Schizosaccharomyces pombe: one gene and its partners. Changing the gene in region 1 together with any one later gene gives a genetic interaction. Each region holds a gene or a part of one and is shown in the gene's direction. Other genes may lie near its edges.

The links. A genetic interaction does not mean that the proteins touch.
Region 2: mutations in prw1 (region 1) and nud3 together harm fitness more than expected from each alone (negative genetic interaction), as found in Schizosaccharomyces pombe (one large-scale study listed by BioGRID).
Region 3: mutations in prw1 (region 1) and SPOM_SPAC977.17 together harm fitness more than expected from each alone (negative genetic interaction), as found in Schizosaccharomyces pombe (one large-scale study listed by BioGRID).

The regions. Positions count from the first base shown.
Region 1 is NC_003424.3:5,109,156-5,114,523, reverse strand, and holds prw1 (histone chaperone, Clr6 and Rpd3L complex subunit Prw1), read left to right. Parts: upstream 1-2,641; 5' UTR 2,642-2,649; coding exon 2,650-2,734; exon of another isoform or gene 2,735-2,804; coding exon 2,805-2,910; exon of another isoform or gene 2,911-2,987; coding exon 2,988-4,092; 3' UTR 4,093-4,230; downstream 4,231-5,368. Other genes in the region: serine/threonine protein kinase Hal4, read left to right, coding at 1-20; fun14 (integral mitochondrial outer membrane (MOM) protein), read right to left, coding at 828-1,043, 1,155-1,382; Ca(2+)/Mn(2+)-transporting P-type ATPase P5 type Cta5, read right to left, coding at 4,231-4,409, 4,456-5,368. UniProt on the Schizosaccharomyces pombe protein: Has a role in chromatin assembly and chromosome segregation. Involved in the deacetylation of histones.
Region 2 is NC_003423.3:3,228,492-3,232,998, forward strand, and holds nud3 (nuclear movement protein nudc), read left to right. Parts: upstream 1-2,900; 5' UTR 2,901-3,029; coding exon 3,030-3,530; 3' UTR 3,531-3,589; downstream 3,590-4,507. Other genes in the region: meiotic septin Spn7, read right to left, coding at 389-669, 712-824, 864-1,375, 1,527-1,620, 1,671-1,752, 1,797-2,001; yap18 (ENTH/VHS domain protein), read right to left, coding at 3,813-4,507.
Region 3 is NC_003424.3:63,196-70,739, forward strand, and holds SPOM_SPAC977.17 (MIP superfamily protein), read left to right. Parts: upstream 1-3,484; 5' UTR 3,485-3,947; coding exon 3,948-5,744; 3' UTR 5,745-6,626; downstream 6,627-7,544. Other genes in the region: SPOM_SPAC977.15 (dienelactone hydrolase family, implicated in cellular detoxification), read left to right, coding at 1-537; dihydroxyacetone kinase Dak2, read right to left, coding at 1,709-3,484.

The DNA.
Region 1 (5,368 bases):
CTGGCAATGCTGGTCTGTAAGTAGAGAGTAGGATTTAAAAGTTACAAATCATGACATTCGAAGCTTTCTAAGCTGTTCGAAAATGAGGATTTACTATTGTTACTGTCTTGATTAAACTATGTTTACATGCATAATTTAATTGTATTGAAAGACTTTTGTTTTTTTATTGCATTCACTCTAGAAGGGCGAAGGGATGGGTTTGATCGTGAAACGCGTCACAAATTATTCATAGTTTGACACAATGCCAAGCGCTATTCAACAATCGCTTGTGTTTGTCTATTTTAACTTTATTACACCTCATGTGGTTTCAACACCGGCACTCCAATTGCCAAGAGGAAAGGGAGAGAGTTGGTGTTTAAACTACATATTTTGGGTATATGTATATATTTTTAAAGAATTCTTACATTAAAGCTTTATATTACGTTCGTTATCATTTTTATATGTACACTAGTGAGCGTGGTGTCTGTGATTTGTTGCATGCACTAGTAAGTCACTTTTTAACTAAACCTAGAAAGTTATGAGCACGGAGCTGACATATCTGAGTTACTTCCACTGTCTAAGACATTAGTGTGTGCAGCTACTTAATAATTAAATTCGGTACCAAAACAAAGAAAATCGTGTTGATTGGTTAATGAATGAAAACTCAATTATAGTTAGATAGATGCATATGAAAAGTAAGCTTCTGAACAGGAGCGTGAGCAAAATGTTTCACTATTGGTAGTATAGAACGAACGTTGGGGTTCAAAGGAATCATAGGAATTGAGAGGAGTGCGAGGGCTGAACAATGTATCAAAATCGAAATGTGTTGTGGTGAAATTCAGCCACTTTTATGATGACACAAATCCAACATACATAGCTGAAAAGAAGCTCAGCTTGAAATTGGGGTTTGTACAGATCCAATTACGAATGGTAGGAAATGTTGATTGAGTATTAAACCTACCTGAACTTGGGAAATGAAATCCAGTATACTGCTCCGTAGGACCTATAACTTGTTGCTGCAGCTGGGGCCAATTAATTCGGATCAGACCTTTACTGTTAATATACTAATAAACGTATTGTGTTAGTATTATGAAAGATAAATACGATTTTCAGTGCGAAACACAAGGTTTTTAAAACCTCTAAATATAAATAAAGAATCAAACTTAAGCACTTACAGCAATGGTAGCGAAAACGGCGGAGCAGGCAACGATGAATAAACGGCCCAATTTTCCTAAAGCAAATCCGGCTGCTAAACCAAGAGAGCTTCCAATAAAGATTTGACGGTAATTCAGCTTAAATTGAGAGGTGATAGTAGTTGCAGCACTTGCCGAATCTTCACACAAGACTGGGCGAAATGGGTGAAACCTGTGCAAGAATCCTCTTCCTAGAAGTAAACAATTCATTATGTGAGAGTAAAAAATAAAGAAAAATAATAGAAAAGGTACAAATTTGGTGGAAACGGTTTAGTCTAAAGGTGGGAATTATTACGAAACGTCATGTCTCGAAGATGTAAATAAAAGATGGATAAAGTATCTTCGTTGCTTTTTCTTAATCAGCTTACTGAGAAAGTGTGTGTCTTAAGGTAGATTTATTATAAGAGAAAGATGTAAACAAATGTATTGTGTACGAAGTATTTAAGTGAAAGGTAATTTTGTGCTTCTTCATCATCGTTTCTAAAATTAATAATGTTCCTTTTTAAGATCAACGATCTTTTAGTTTGGTATGACTTGCTTCGAAGTTCTTTTTTCTTGATGTAAAGAACGGCATACATATTGAAACGGGATTGTCTTCATTTTAACAATTAAATTAAATATATTTCTCATTTCTTTTACTAAGGGTACGCAAGAATACGAGGGCATCTTGAATTCGGCTTCTTGCTCGTTTGGTTTTCAGTATGACTTGATGCATTTTCCAAGGATTGCAGAACAGGTGGGAGATCATTATTTTAAATCATATACTTTTTATTCACGCTCAATTGAATATTCAAAAAAAGGAGAACTTCAGAAATTTTGGCTGCGTTTTGCTATTGGCGATACACAAGTTGAATGTACCTTAAAACTAAGAGGAACATAATTTTTTTACCAATTTTAATAATCCTGCTTCTCAAGCGGTTGTTGCCTTGTGTGACTAAAAAAAAGCTTCAAAGTGTTTCTGTTCTTGACGCACTGATTCATGCAGAAGTTAGAGTAGATGAAATTAGCATGAAAGCAAAGTAAAAAAAAACTCATCTAAATTAAAGATTCTTAACTCTCAGCTCTATAAATTTATCTTTCCATCTTGTGTCTTATAGCAGTCCATCGGGAAGCTTGTGCTACCCAAATTATATCTCACTTCTGTATACATATGTTCAGCAAACATAATCATTTTTAGTAATTCAACTTTTTACAATTAACAGTCTCTTTAAAAGTTGCAATTTCTAGCACTGTGGAAACGCATCTCAGGTCGAGAGAGAAGATGAAAAGACGCTAGCCGAAGCATGAGACAAGATTAAGTTTCTATTGTTTTTTCCCATTTAAACATCTATACGGCTGTGATTATATAAAACCTAAACAATCTTAATTTATAAACCAACCTGCACCTATTTAAGAACACTTAGTGTGCACATTAGCGCTGCACGCGTCTACTCACCATCCACCAAAAAGCAGATTCAATCATTTTAACTAGAACATAATGGCTGTATCAGCTGTTCCCCATCCTTCCAAGCAAGCGCAGGCTTCGGAGGAGGGAATAAATCAAGAAAAATGCATCAATGAAGGTATGTCTGCAACGTTTTAACATACAATTTCTAGTTGATCAATGTAAAATGTGTTTCTAATCTGAAACAGAGTATAAAATTTGGAAAAAGAACTCACCGTTCCTTTACGATTTAATAATTACTAGAGCTTTGGAATGGCCTTGTATGTCACTACAATGGTATCCAGAGCAGCAAATGTAAGTCAATCATTTGAATCATAATGTTTAATCTTGTTTATGTGACTCAAAAAACTTACCATTATTTTTTGTTATAGTTTTGCAGAACATGGATATACTGAGCAGAAAATGTTTCTGGGAGTTCGTGCTGATGTTGGCAAATACTTACTAGCTGTTGCGTCTATTCAATTACCCTATTTAAATCAGACTGTTCCTCCTACTACAATGGAGGGAGCATCTGCGGGTGACGAGTCTTCTCTACGTGTTAATATCTCAAATCTTTATTCTCATCCTGAGTCTGTTTGTAGTGCGAAGCTTATGCCACAAGACGATTCTTGTGTAGCTACGGTGGGTAACTATCATAATGATGTGTTGGTTTTTGACAAGGAATCCTTCGAATCTTATAGCTCGGCTAGTGAGTCTCCTCTTAAGCCCAAATATAGATTGACCAAACATACCCAGCCCTGTACTAGTGTTTGTTGGAATTTTCTTTCTAAGGGTACTTTGGTTTCTGGATCGCAAGACGCTACTCTTTCTTGTTGGGATTTGAATGCTTACAACGAGTCAGATTCAGCGTCAGTTTTGAAAGTGCATATAAGCAGCCATGAAAAACAGGTCAGTGATGTACGCTTTCATTATAAGCACCAGGATCTTCTTGCTTCAGTTTCCTATGATCAGTACCTTCATGTTCATGATATTCGTCGCCCTGATGCTTCCACAAAGCCAGCTCGAAGTGTGCATGCCCATAGCGGTCCTATTCATTCTGTTGCTTTCAACCCTCATAACGACTTTATTTTGGCTACTTGTTCGACTGACAAAACCATTGCACTTTGGGATTTACGGAACCTTAATCAACGCTTACATACATTAGAAGGACATGAAGACATTGTAACAAAAATTAGCTTTTCTCCTCATGAAGAGCCTATTCTTGCTTCTACCTCAGCCGATAGAAGGACCTTAGTTTGGGATCTTTCAAGAATCGGGGAAGATCAGCCTGCTGAGGAAGCTCAAGACGGTCCTCCGGAGCTTCTTTTTATGCACGGAGGCCATACTTCTTGTACAATTGACATGGATTGGTGTCCTAATTATAATTGGACAATGGCAACCGCTGCTGAAGATAATATTCTTCAAATTTGGACACCTTCTCGCTCAATTTGGGGTAATGAACAATTAGAGGAAGATGCTACGGCATATTTAAGTTAACCGGTCGTATACAACATTCATTGATATTTTACTTAATGTCCCAAACCTGTTTCTCTCTTTAACTCCTTTTTTTTTCTACCCTAATTGCACATAAAAGCAAGTTTTTGATTAACATATATATATTTAATTTTGTTTTTTTTACATGTTCAGAATACTCGTAAGGCAGCACGAGATAACTCCCATAAAAAGTATTATGAAACGATACAGTGTCGGTAGACGTGTGATTTGCAAACACCTAGAGATAATGTGATTTTCATTTGCAAAACATAGATAGATATTGCAAAGGCCAATGGTAGTACACAAACATACATAAGTTTCTATATCATAAGATGTTAATAAACAAAAGACAGGATTTTCACTTACTTTTTTTCCAAATAGGTGACAAAAACTCGGAACTTTGGTTTATTCCAATACAAATTCCTAAATATTGTAAAGAACTTAAAAGAAATATGCTAGTCACTAGCACGTTTTTCGTATTTGATTTTTCAAGTTGCCATTCAGGTAATTCAACCCAGTTCAACTCGTGTAGTATTAAAGTCAGCAAGCCATGGGATAGCCATATTAATACTGATTGAATTCCTAAATCCTTTACTCTTCCTTTGCCAAACAATGTTGAATTAGGGCGATTGCTTGTCAAATTTTGAGCAGGGTCGAAGTAACTCATAGCTGCTGACAGTGGAAATATGATTAACAGATCCATAAACAAAAATTGGTTATCGTTAAAGTTATAATTTTTTAAATAGAGAAAGAAGACACCAGAAAACTGGACTATAGCACACAACACCATATATTGAAAACAACGATGGCTAAGTATTAAGGAGCATCTGCCCTCCAATAAGACATTAAAAACATCCTTAATTGATTTTTTTTTGCTAACAAAGGAAGCTGCAGCACATGCCTCGGAATCAGAGAGAGAAACTCCAACATCGGCTTGCTTCAAAGCAATACAGTCATTTGCCCCGTCACCGCAAAAGCCAACTTTGCAGCCATATTTTTGACAAAGCTCCACATATGTAGCCTTGTCAAAAGGGGACATTCTAGCGAGAACCCTTAGTTTACTTAATAAGATTTTAATTTCATTAAAAGAAAGCATGGTCAATAATCTTTGAAGTAGTTTTCCATCCATACAAAGGCTTGAATCCTTCTCGAGGATTACATCTTTTAAAGAGAAGCCGTCGGGAATGGGCTGAAAGTTCTGAGTTTGTAAATCTATTTTTTCAAAATGGATTTGTGGACAATCATCCCCAGAATCTGCTAGTTCAGCTGTGTATATAAA
Region 2 (4,507 bases), on another chromosome or scaffold:
CCAAAATCATATGCTCACGAATGCCTAAATCGATGAACGACCGTTTACGCATCTACGACTCAACCTGAAAGACGTAATGATGAGCATTGGATTGATTCGACTCATTACTCAGTAATCAACAGTTAAATGAATTTGTAAATTAATATTTTATTTAAAAATACCAAACGAGACGTTCGGCAGCCCTCAGTTAACTCATCGTTTCAAGTAGGTCATAACAATGCACGTGTGGGTGCGGTAATCTAGTAGTCTAATGAATGCTTATGTTAAGGACATAGGTAGAGAAGTAGGTGTATGATTAAGCAATTAAAAAGAAATCAAAAGACTTTTCATGAACTTATACTAAATTATTCTTTTGATTGTTTATAATTTGCACTCTCAAATGTTTAATTTAGCGATAGAAAGGGAGGTTTTCGTAACGCTCATGAGACAAATCATCCATTTTCTTCATCTCCAATTCCTTTGTCGTATTGTTGGGTAGACTGTTTCGACTTGATGTAGTTCTGTGAGGAAATTCCTTTGGCGATATTACTTCTAATCCAATTTGTTCACAGTTTAATTGATTAGTTTTAGTTTTAGTATTTCCATAAGAATCGCATTTAAGACTGCTGGTGTTGTCAACTTTGATGGAGTTAATTTTCTTTAACTCCTCAGATTTTGTAGAATCGGAGACTGCGTTCATTAGCACGAAAATGAGAGAATGCATATACTTACCATTAGTTCGCATTTCTGATTGATCAATCGAAGATCGAGTCTCCGTTCTCTCAGAACCATTTACACTTCTTTTATCTTCATTTGCAACTATGGAATTTTGCTTTTGCAATGACCTAACTTATTAGCTCGCTTATGCATAGTTAATTTCTTACAATGATGTGTTCGAAGGTGAGTCGTTGGACAGTTTTTCTGTACGATAATTCTCATAATAGGTTTGTTTAGTTATACTTTTGAGTATATCCAAATGAGAAATAAACAATACGGTCTTCAAGTTAAGAAAATCAGAATGTGCAGGATCATCAATTACGAATGTTCCCCATTGGAATTTCTTGACGATTCTTTGATATCCTTCTTCATCTTCCTCTGATACCCCTCCAGATACAGCGAATGGAACACTTTCCCAAAGTCGTTTGTTATCCTCAATGACTTCGTCTTCATCCTCCTCAGGATCCCAAGGAAAGTCAAATACCTTTATGTTACATTGTTTCAAATCCTTCATTATCACATCTTTGAAGTTCTTTAATTCTTCTTCAGTAAAAGCGTTGGAGTTTCCAATGACAGGAATTACGTTTACGCGCTTTGAAAACCGTTTCATGGCTTCCAAATCAAACTCAGACAGGCAATGTCCACGGGGTGCAATAAAATAAAGTAGGGCATCAACGCGCTAAAATATCGTTAGAAAACTTTTTTTTCATTCCTCATTCTTAAACCAATGTGTTCTCTTGGTTTTCTACTTAACAACATTAAATCAAGTAATGGAAGTAACTTGATTGAAATAGTTAAGGACGGAAAAACTTTGTTTGCAGATTTCGTACCGTATCAGTAAATTTAGAATTTCTTTTGATTTTAGATTCTTCTATCAAGGCTTGATCGAATTGGCTTTCCAAATAATGAGTAACTACCTCGAAACTAATGCATTGAAATTAGCTTTAATTTAGAAAAATACCTTTTGGTATTACCTAGCTGAATTATCAATTTTATCTCCGAAACCATTTACTTCAATGACCGTAAGGTCAACATGGAACTCATCTTCTAAAATATCTAATTACAGTTAGCACACGAAAATTAAAACCGTAATAACTCACCAGCATTAAATTCCCTTATTTCCAGTATTCTATCAATATGAGCTTTTAGCGGATCTATCTCTGTTTCAGCTTCCAGTATTTGTTTACTGCACAAGCTATTGATACAAGCTTGGTAACTGGTGTAGCTAGATCCTGCTACCATTATGCGAAGCTTTTTTCCCTTTTTTGATAAGAATTTTGGACGATGTCTTGGGCCTTTATTCATCTTGAAGTGTTTGCTGTTGGAAGAACTTGGGTTTGTTTGTTTACTGCTTAATAAAGGCACCGATACGTTGGCAGTATATCCATTTCGCAAACAAGGAAAATCCAGAAGATTTCTTTATACAAAACTTTTCAATAGTACTTTTAAATATAGTTTATATTTTTTCTTCCAGTATTCTTCTCTAAATCATTTTGTGCCTTAATCATCTTCGCATTGTCCAAAATTTAAGTAATTTAACCTTTGACCTTTAACGAGCCCTCTGTTCATTTACTGAGTTAAAATAAGGCGCTGATATTTTGCATTAATTCATGAGACTTTCGAGTTTATTTAAGCGACAGCAATTGTTAAAGGAATCATAATCATGAAAACCCAATTCCCATGCTTATTTTGCATCTACCACACAAATTTTGAATGATTGCAACAGTTGTACCTTTCGTTGCTACATATAACTTCGTAAACATAATGATGCTGGTAGATTTTACATAACGATGTTCGTTAATGTTTTAATGTTATGATATGCTTGTTGTGATTTGCGCCATAGCCCATATAAACGGCTTTGAGCAAATTTCATAATAAATTGAATTGTTCCTAAAACTCGGTTTATTTGCAAAGCCTAATACATAACTTGAGTTACACCTTCCTCAAAAATTGAAGTTTTTTTTTAGCGCAACAAAATTCTACTTTTTAAAAAGTGAAATCTTTAACTCTAGAGTATTGTATAAAAATCGAATGTTAGTAAAATAAACGTAACAGAACACAAGTAAAAGTTACAGCCTGCGAGTTTGCACGACTCTCCACTGTGTGCACCGCAAACCATCAAACGTTAGCTCTTTAACGTAGCGTACAAACTCGTAATCTTGAAATTCCGGTTTATGAAGTCGGTAATTAAATATACATTAATCAAATCTAGCTTCATTTTTTAGGCTCGTAAAAGAATTTGATTTGCTTAGCCAAAAACGAGCACATATTTAATAAAATTACAAAGTAATCAACCGATTACGAAAAGCGTGAGTTGAGCTGCAGGTTTAAGAATGCATCAAGTAAAACTCGAAGAGGCCGAGTACGAGTGGGATCAAACAATAGCCGATGTTGATATTGTCATCCATGTACCCAAAGGGACAAGAGCGAAATCCCTCCAGGTAGATATGTCAAATCACGATCTCAAAATTCAAATCAACGTCCCAGAACGAAAAGTCCTTCTCAGTGGTCCACTCGAAAAACAGATCAATTTAGATGAAAGCACCTGGACTGTCGAAGAACAAGAAAGGCTTGTTATCCATCTCGAGAAATCCAATAAAATGGAATGGTGGTCGTGTGTTATAAAAGGGCATCCCTCAATCGATATAGGCTCAATTGAGCCCGAAAATTCAAAATTATCTGATCTAGATGAAGAAACAAGAGCTACAGTTGAAAAAATGATGTTGGAGCAAAGCCAAAAGCGTACCGATGAACAAAAACGAAAAGATGTACTGCAAAATTTCATGAAACAACATCCTGAACTAGATTTTTCAAATGTTAGAGACCAGATTTGAATAGTTTCATGATTTTATATATGTATAATTACAATTGTTACAAAACTTTCTAAGCTCTATTGATAAAAATGTAGAAATTTCTGGTATTTGTAAAACTGATAGTACAAAGAAGGTATAAACAGCAAATCGGCATTCTTTTAAACTAGAAATAAATCGAGAAAGTCTTGGATAAAGAGCGAGTTAGTATAATAATATTAATAAATGGGTCATTAGCTAGCCAGCAATAACTTATGCATGATTATATACAACGACATGATGGGTGCATTGACAACAAAAACAAACCTAACTTCGGAACGGATTTTTAGACTCCGTCGAAATTGAATTTCTCGCTAAATCAGTTGGTTCAGCCAATTCCCTCGTTGAAAAGGGGTTTTTAGATGCGGTGTACGGTGTAGACATCGGCCTTTCAGGAACATCCAACTTTTGTCCAATATTAACTGGGGAAGCCGAATGGCCATGCGTGAACCCATTAGGAGAATGTTGAATAAATCCAGGAGACCCTTCAGGATACATAATGTGAGCAGGGGACGGTAGCGGACCCCTTGAGTCTTCCATGGCAGGAATCATAACAGGATACTGCTGATTCAATACAGGAATATTTGGCTGTAACGGTATGGTAGTCGGTTGTTGCTGCTCAAACTGCATTCCTTGATAAGAGGGTTGCCTTAAAAAGTTTTGAAAAGGATTGGTTGTTGAAGGATTTACAGGATTATTTTGAGCATACATGTTAACTTGGGAAATATTCAAAGCAGTGTTTGGAGAAGCTCCAGTTTGTTGCATCCCATTCATTGTATATTGTATGTTTGCCATCTGATTTCCAGCCATCTGGGACAAGAGTTGAACTTGCTGTAATTGAGGGGGGATTGGTTGTGGGTGATAAGTTGGTGAAGAGCTGTTGTAAAAAGGGTTGAGAGAGTCATTCGGGTGACTCGGAATAGGCTGCACTATATTAGTACTTTCAGATTTTTTATCTAATG
Region 3 (7,544 bases), 5.0 Mb from region 1:
GCTATTTATCTTCCTGATTTTCTGAATGGTGAAACAGCCTCTATAGAAATGATAGATCCAAAAACGATTGAGCAAAAAGAAGCACGTAGTAAATTTATGGAGAAAATTTCTTCTCCACTACATTGGCCTAAATTAACAAAGGTCATAGAGGACATTGAAAGGATACATGGTCAAGATGTCAAAATAGGTGCTTATGGTTTTTGCTGGGGTGCCAAAGTATTGATTACATATCCTAATAAAGAAAGATTCTTGCGTATTGGATGTGCGCATCCATCTCTTCTTGATCCTGTAGACGCTAAACATGTTCATTGTCCAGTTTGCTTTCTATGTTCAAAGGACGAAGATCCTGAGGAAGTTGATGCTTGGAAGAAAAGTTTCGAAAACTCTCCATATTTTTCTGAATCGTATTTTGAGACTTTTGGAAAAATGCATCACGGATGGATGGCAGCTCGAGCCAACCTATCGGATCCTGAAAATCGAAAATATTTTGATTTAGGTTACCAAATCTTTTTAAAATTCTTTAAAGAACTTTTTTAAATAGTATTGGTGTCGCTTAGAGATTTTTGGATTAGTTAAGAATAAATATAGCACCTGTCGTTGACCGCCAACAACATTTGTTAATTTCATATTCAATAAAGTTTCGTTAAGTGATTATAACTACTGCAACTATTATCATTTTCAATTGAGAGTAATTATAGGATACAATTTCAAAAGTTTAATGCGGCCTAATTTATTTCCATATTCGTCATATACTACCTAACTAGAAATTTCTGAAATTACAAAAATTTTTATCAATCTTAAAAGAAAAAACTAGGCTGAATGCTTTATAAATTCATCCATTAGCTGCTTCAATAAAACGTACCTTTTTCCGAATTCGTACAAAGATTTACGGTCTAGTTTTATGGTTATAATTAACTAGCTGTTTCATAACACAGAACGAGACAACTTGAAAGTGTGCGGATCTCCTTAAGGAAACACTGAATTCATGCAAGATATTTTTTTTTGGGTTTTCTAGATTTCAAATTTCTTCATTAAAACAAACATAATAAAAAATTAATCGCTTACTTTATTTGAAGAAAAATTACATTTTAGACAAAATAGTTTGTCCAAAATGTTTATTGGATAATAGCGTTCTCTGTCAACACATTTCACGTAATTTTCCGTCTAGTATTCAGCAAACATCTACCAAGTGCTAAGAATCAGAAAGGTTGGCTAAATGATCAGTTTATGATCGCCGACCGAGTAACATGTCAGTCTTTTGAAAAAAACCATACAGTGCATGTGATTGTCTACTTCGTTTTCGCTTTACAGATCAGATCTACATAGCATTTCGGCAGGTAAATTCGTTTAACAATTTCTGCATGTAATTCTCTTTTTTTGACGAATTGTAAGCTATAACTACTGCAATATTTTCACGTTCTCCAACGCCTCCTACAAATTAATACTAGACAATAGGACCAAAAGTGTAAATAATACATCAGTAATCATTTGATCCAAGCTTTTTTATTCGCAATATATTGATTCTTAAAAGAAAGTTCTAAAAAAGCCAGTGGATACAAAATTTAATCAAACATTTTGTAATTATGGTGAAAATTTTAAAAGAAAGCCAAAACAATTTTAAACTCAGGTTACATGATATGCCTTTCCAACATTAACTATGTGCATTATTAACATAGAGCCAAATTCTGAGGTAGTGATAAAAAACGCTTTAATGTTCGCTTGCCTCAACAATTGCGTTCAAAATAGCGGCCAATGCAAAGGCACCAGGATCCGGCAATCCTCCCTCACTATCAAGCTTATGAAGTTCTTCTTTAGCAACATAAGATGCTCTTCCAACGACAGCATCCATTTTTCTAGTTTGTTCAGAACCTTCAGTGGCAGCTTTCGCAGCAGCATCAAGTCCCTTACCCTCATTTAAAGTTTCAACAAATGGTTGAATAGCATCAATAAGCGTTCGGAATCCTTTACGGGCTCTAGTGTATTTGAAAAGAGCGTCAAGTGCATACTTGCTTGCAAACGCAAATGTATGCACGGATAATTCGGAATCGCCTGACTCATGAACTCCTTTGGCTAGCGCAGACAAATAAATCGAGTAAAGACCACCCGATGTACCTCCCATCGAATCCTCAACAATATAGGCCAAATCGTCAATACCATTTACACCATCATCCAATCGAATCGATTTATCATTAATAGCCTTTGTGATGGCCTCTCCACCATTCACAAGGGTTGTTCCACAATCACCATCTCCTGCAATCGTATCGTACCAAGTTGTCTTTGGCTCAAATTCATTGATAGCGTCAACGGCAGCTTTTAAAATTTTAGTAAACATCTTTGGGTCAGCCTTTACACCGCTGTGCTTCTCATTACGGGTATGCTCCAAAGCGGGAGCTGTTGGCACCTTGCCGTCAGCCAAAACCTCCCAGTCCTTTGCGTTATGATAAGAAACGTTCCATCCACTAGCGGTTGTTGGCAAGTCAAAATATTTGAAAATATCTGGAGTAGCCTTAGAAGCATTGACCAATGTAATTCCAAAACCAGGACCGTTCAGAGCGGTTACAAACGTACCAGACATGGTTCTTTTAGGAATGATACCTCGTTTGGCTAATTGTTCCGAAACTACTTCAGTAGCATATCCCAACTCTAAATTGGACATACCACCCATATTGTTTACTAGAAGGATAACATCGTCTTTTGAAGAAAACTCTACGAAACTATTGTCCGGGTTTTTCTCACCAAACAAAATTGAAAGCATCTCTGTAACTAGCTCGGGAATAGATGGAAGTGGTGATGATTTGAAGGTTCCAGGCTCGTTATGAATACCCATGCCAATCTCATACTCGTCTGGACCCAAGTTGGTTTCAAATTTGCGACCGGGAACGGCGCAGTGATCCAATGAAGCTGCTATGGTAGCAGCATTGTCAATCACTGATTGGGCCACTTGAGCAACTTGATGCAGATCCAATCCTAATGCTGCTGCAGATCCCGCAATTTTGTGTACTAGCACAGTGGCTCCTAAACCTCTTCTTCCTACGAGTGCACCTCTTTTTTTGCCTACAGAAACATCATCTCCTACGGCAACAAGCTCAACGTTCATTCCAGCTGCCTTGGCTCTCTCAGCTGCCAGGCCAAAATGAATAATATCGCCTGTATAATTCTTGACAATAATTAAAGTTCCCTTAGGAGAAGCAACAGCTTTGAGGGCAGAGTAAATTTGTTTAGTAGAGGGAGAAGCAAAAATGTCTCCACAAGCTACAGCGTCCAAGGCTCCATCACCAACAAAACCTGCATGTGTAGGCTCGTGCCCACTACCACCACCAGACACTAAAGTTACTTTAGGAAGATCACCAGAACCCGGGGCAGAAGCTGTCCTGTAAATCACACGATCATGTTCAATAACAGTAAGACCAGGGTTACTTCTAGCAAGTCCAAGCAAGTATGGGCGTACTATATGTCCGTCAGATACAAATTGTTTTACAGACATTTTTAATTGAAAAGAAACGTTCCCTTCCTGCTTTTTTATCTCATTCTTTACATTACTACTACCCCGCGCGCGGTGCGTTCTAAGATTTGCAAATATCCGGCATACCCGCCTAGCTGACCAATTGTTGATTACGGTTGAAGCGGCAGTTATGCGAGTGTGCAAACGCATTGTATAAACTTGTCCAATTCAGGGAAATTTATAACACATATTCTTAATATTCTGTAGATAAATTGATTTGCGCTTAAGATTCGTCACCAAATTTGTGCCGCCACTACACGTTGTCATCGACGGTTGCTTAACTTCGGTTATCTGGACCACTTGCATGAGTATATAATGCACTGTTTTACTCCACCTTATTCCCAAAGCTATTTCAAACCTTAATTTTGGTATTCCCGCCAGTACCCGCGTGCATTCAAAAAATTTCCATAAAAGCCAAGATTTGTCCCGTCTAATTCACTACTAAATGAGCGTCCCTTTACGCTTCTCGACACCATCATCATCTCCTTCAGCCTCAGATAATGAGAGCGTGCATGATGATGGTCCCACAACTGAATTAGACACTTTCAATACGACGGACGTGCCAAGAAGAGTCAATACCACTAAAGCTCGACAAATGCGTCCCAAAAATACCCTAAAAGTTGCGTTCTCTTCACCCAACCTCAAAGGCCTGGACAACACTGCCGACTCGGATTCTCAACCCTGGCTTGGTGGGTACCTTGCTGGAAGACTTGAAGATATATCCGGACAATCGCGTCGAAATTATGTTGATCCTTATTACGAAGAATTGAATGCTGGGAGGAGACCCAACAAACCGGTGTGGAGTTTGAATGGACCATTGCCACATGTTCTTGGTAACTCTGTGGTAGAAAAAATATCTCAAAAGAATCAGGAAGCTCGTTCTAGAGCAAATTCCAGGGTGAATTCCAGAGCAAATTCCAGAGCAAACTCCTCGGTCTCTTTGGCTGGTATGGATGGATCGCCCAATTGGAAACGGAAAATGAAGAGTGCTGTTTTTGGATCAAGAGTCAAGCTTAATGATGAAGAAGCTCAATTGCCGCGCAATAAATCTTCCGTTTCCATAGCGGAACAAGCCGCTTCAAGACCCAAAGTTAGTTTCTCGCTTCAAAGCAGCCGTCAACCATCCATTGCTGAGGAGCAACCCCAAACCCAGCGTAAGTCTTCCGCGATAACGGTAGAGCATGCGGAAAATGCTGAACCAGAGACCCCAAGAAATAATGTTAGTTTCTCTAGGAAACCGTCAATAGCTGAACAAGATTCATCTCAAGATATTACTATGCCTCCTAATGAAATTATTGCTGAAGAAAGTTTAGACTCGGGAAGCGATACTGAAACCCTGTATCTCAACTATTGGTGCAAGATTAGACACTTTTTTCGTGAGGGTTTTGCTGAGTTCCTGGGCACTTTGGTTTTGGTTGTGTTTGGTGTAGGCAGTAATTTGCAAGCTACCGTCACTAATGGAGCAGGTGGAAGCTTCGAATCCCTTTCTTTTGCTTGGGGATTTGGTTGCATGCTTGGCGTTTATATAGCTGGTGGAATCAGTGGTGGTCATGTCAATCCCGCTGTGACTATCTCATTAGCCATATTTCGCAAATTTCCTTGGTATAAAGTGCCAATCTACATTTTTTTCCAAATCTGGGGTGCATTCTTTGGAGGTGCACTTGCCTATGGTTACCATTGGAGTTCAATTACTGAATTTGAAGGAGGCAAAGATATTAGAACACCGGCAACAGGTGGTTGTTTGTACACCAATCCAAAACCATACGTCACTTGGAGAAACGCATTTTTCGATGAGTTTATTGGAACAGCCGTTTTGGTAGGATGTTTATTCGCCATTCTAGATGATACCAACTCTCCACCAACCCAGGGCATGACTGCTTTTATCGTTGGTTTGCTTATTGCAGCTATTGGTATGGCTCTTGGATATCAAACAAGTTTCACTCTGAATCCAGCTCGTGACTTGGGACCTCGTATGTTTGCATGGTGGATTGGCTATGGACCACATTCATTTCACCTGTATCATTGGTGGTGGACTTGGGGTGCTTGGGGCGGTACCATAGGAGGTGGTATTGCTGGAGGACTTATTTATGATTTAGTAATATTTACGGGCCCAGAGTCTCCACTTAATTATCCAGATAACGGGTTTATCGATAAAAAAGTGCATCAGATTACCGCAAAATTTGAGAAGGAAGAAGAGGTTGAAAACTTGGAAAAAACAGATTCTCCGATTGAGAATAATTGAACTCTTAATAATCTTTCATGTCACAAAATGCAGAAGATTGAAACCATTTACTTTTTATTTATTTATTCTTATTATTGTGGAGCAGCTTTTCTCTTTATACTAAGCATATATTAGCTTTTATATTATCTTTTGAGATGGACAAAGAGCTATGTCTTCCCCATTTTTTTTGTTTAATTTAAGCACTAGGGTTTTGTTGTGTTACTCTTTGTTGCTGTAAAAATTTTCAGCTTCTTAATGCTTGGGACGCCCTTATGTTGTTGCAATAGCGGCAGCTTCAATTAAAATTGATTTCATATCAAAAAAGACGATTTTCCCATTATATTGCGGTGTCTCGAATTTATTACTTCTTCCCTCAACTTACTTTGAAACCTAATTTTTGGATTCCTGTTGACTTCTTTTTTACGTTTTTGCGTATTACCGATTTTTCTTCCGCTTTGCGTAACACAATTTTCTTGCTCTCTTCTTTACTCTATGTACTGCGAAAGTAGTACGATTACCTTGTATGATTACTTATATTGCCCAACCCCCTTTTCAAGTTCAACTTTGACCGAAATTTTCTCTTCTCTTTTTTGCTATTTATTCATATATCTACCTGTAATTTTTAGTCCTTAAAACATTTGGTTTTTCAAAACAACAGATATTAAAAATGGCCGATATGACCATTACGTCATGAAATACTTGCTTCTCTATTTGGTTAACATACTTAGGATTTAGCTAAATTAGTTAAGATATCAAAAAAGTTTTAACTCATATCTAAAGATTTTTTTATTTAGAATAATTGGACGTTATGTTATGATATATAATTTTATGATTCACTTTTGTCGATTTTGTTAAAACATGTTTTGTTAATATTTAAAAGCTCAACGAGGATGAAATTTTTCTGTACATTTTAAACATAAAATACATTCTAGATATTGAATGTAATACCAATATTTTCATGAACACGCTGTTTAAAAAATATTTTTCGGTAACCCATTATTTGGTATTGTTTTCGTATAATAGTTAAATAATCAAACTTCTATAAAATTATAAAGCAAACCAACGACTGAAAGCATTTTGTAAAAAAACTTATAAAATCAGTGGGAACAGCTTGTAGATTCACTAATGTCATTATATAAACCGATTATTTTTCCAAAGGCATTATCAAAATTTATTTCGGAATGCAAGGATTCCCGTAAAACTAAAACCGTAGTTTATTAAATTTTAAAATTACTTTCATTTCCAGTATTTTTACGGTATGTATTTATAAAGTTCAAACTCACTTGGAAATTGAATGTCCGGAACCCTGCTTTTTATGTTTAATATCCGAGTTTAATATATTGGATATTCCAGTAGTCATTTTATGAATACCAAACCTCTGTTTTGGGAAGAGAAGAACTAGTATGCGATGGCAAATATTTTTTTTCTGTTTTAATTAGACGATATTGATAGTGACAAAATGAATCAACTTCGCAAATAATATTAATTAAAAGTTTTTACATGTAATTCGCAGCCGTAATAGCAATTAAATTTACTAATTCAGGAAGCTTGCAACTAGAAAACGCTTGTTTAATTTGGCTCCAGTATTGTCAGTTTTCTGAAAAAAAAAGCTCGCTTTGCCTCGGCGGTCTATTTGTAACGATTATACTTCTATCAGATCTATTAATCCTAACTACAACTTGAAATGATTTCTTAAGCGCGTGAAATAAAAAAATCTCAACTCTGAGAAACCGCAATACTTACTTGGGATTTCTTTTTGTGTACATTTTACTTCTGCTTATAGCGTTGAGAGTAACTTGGTAAGCTCTGAGCAGATTCTAC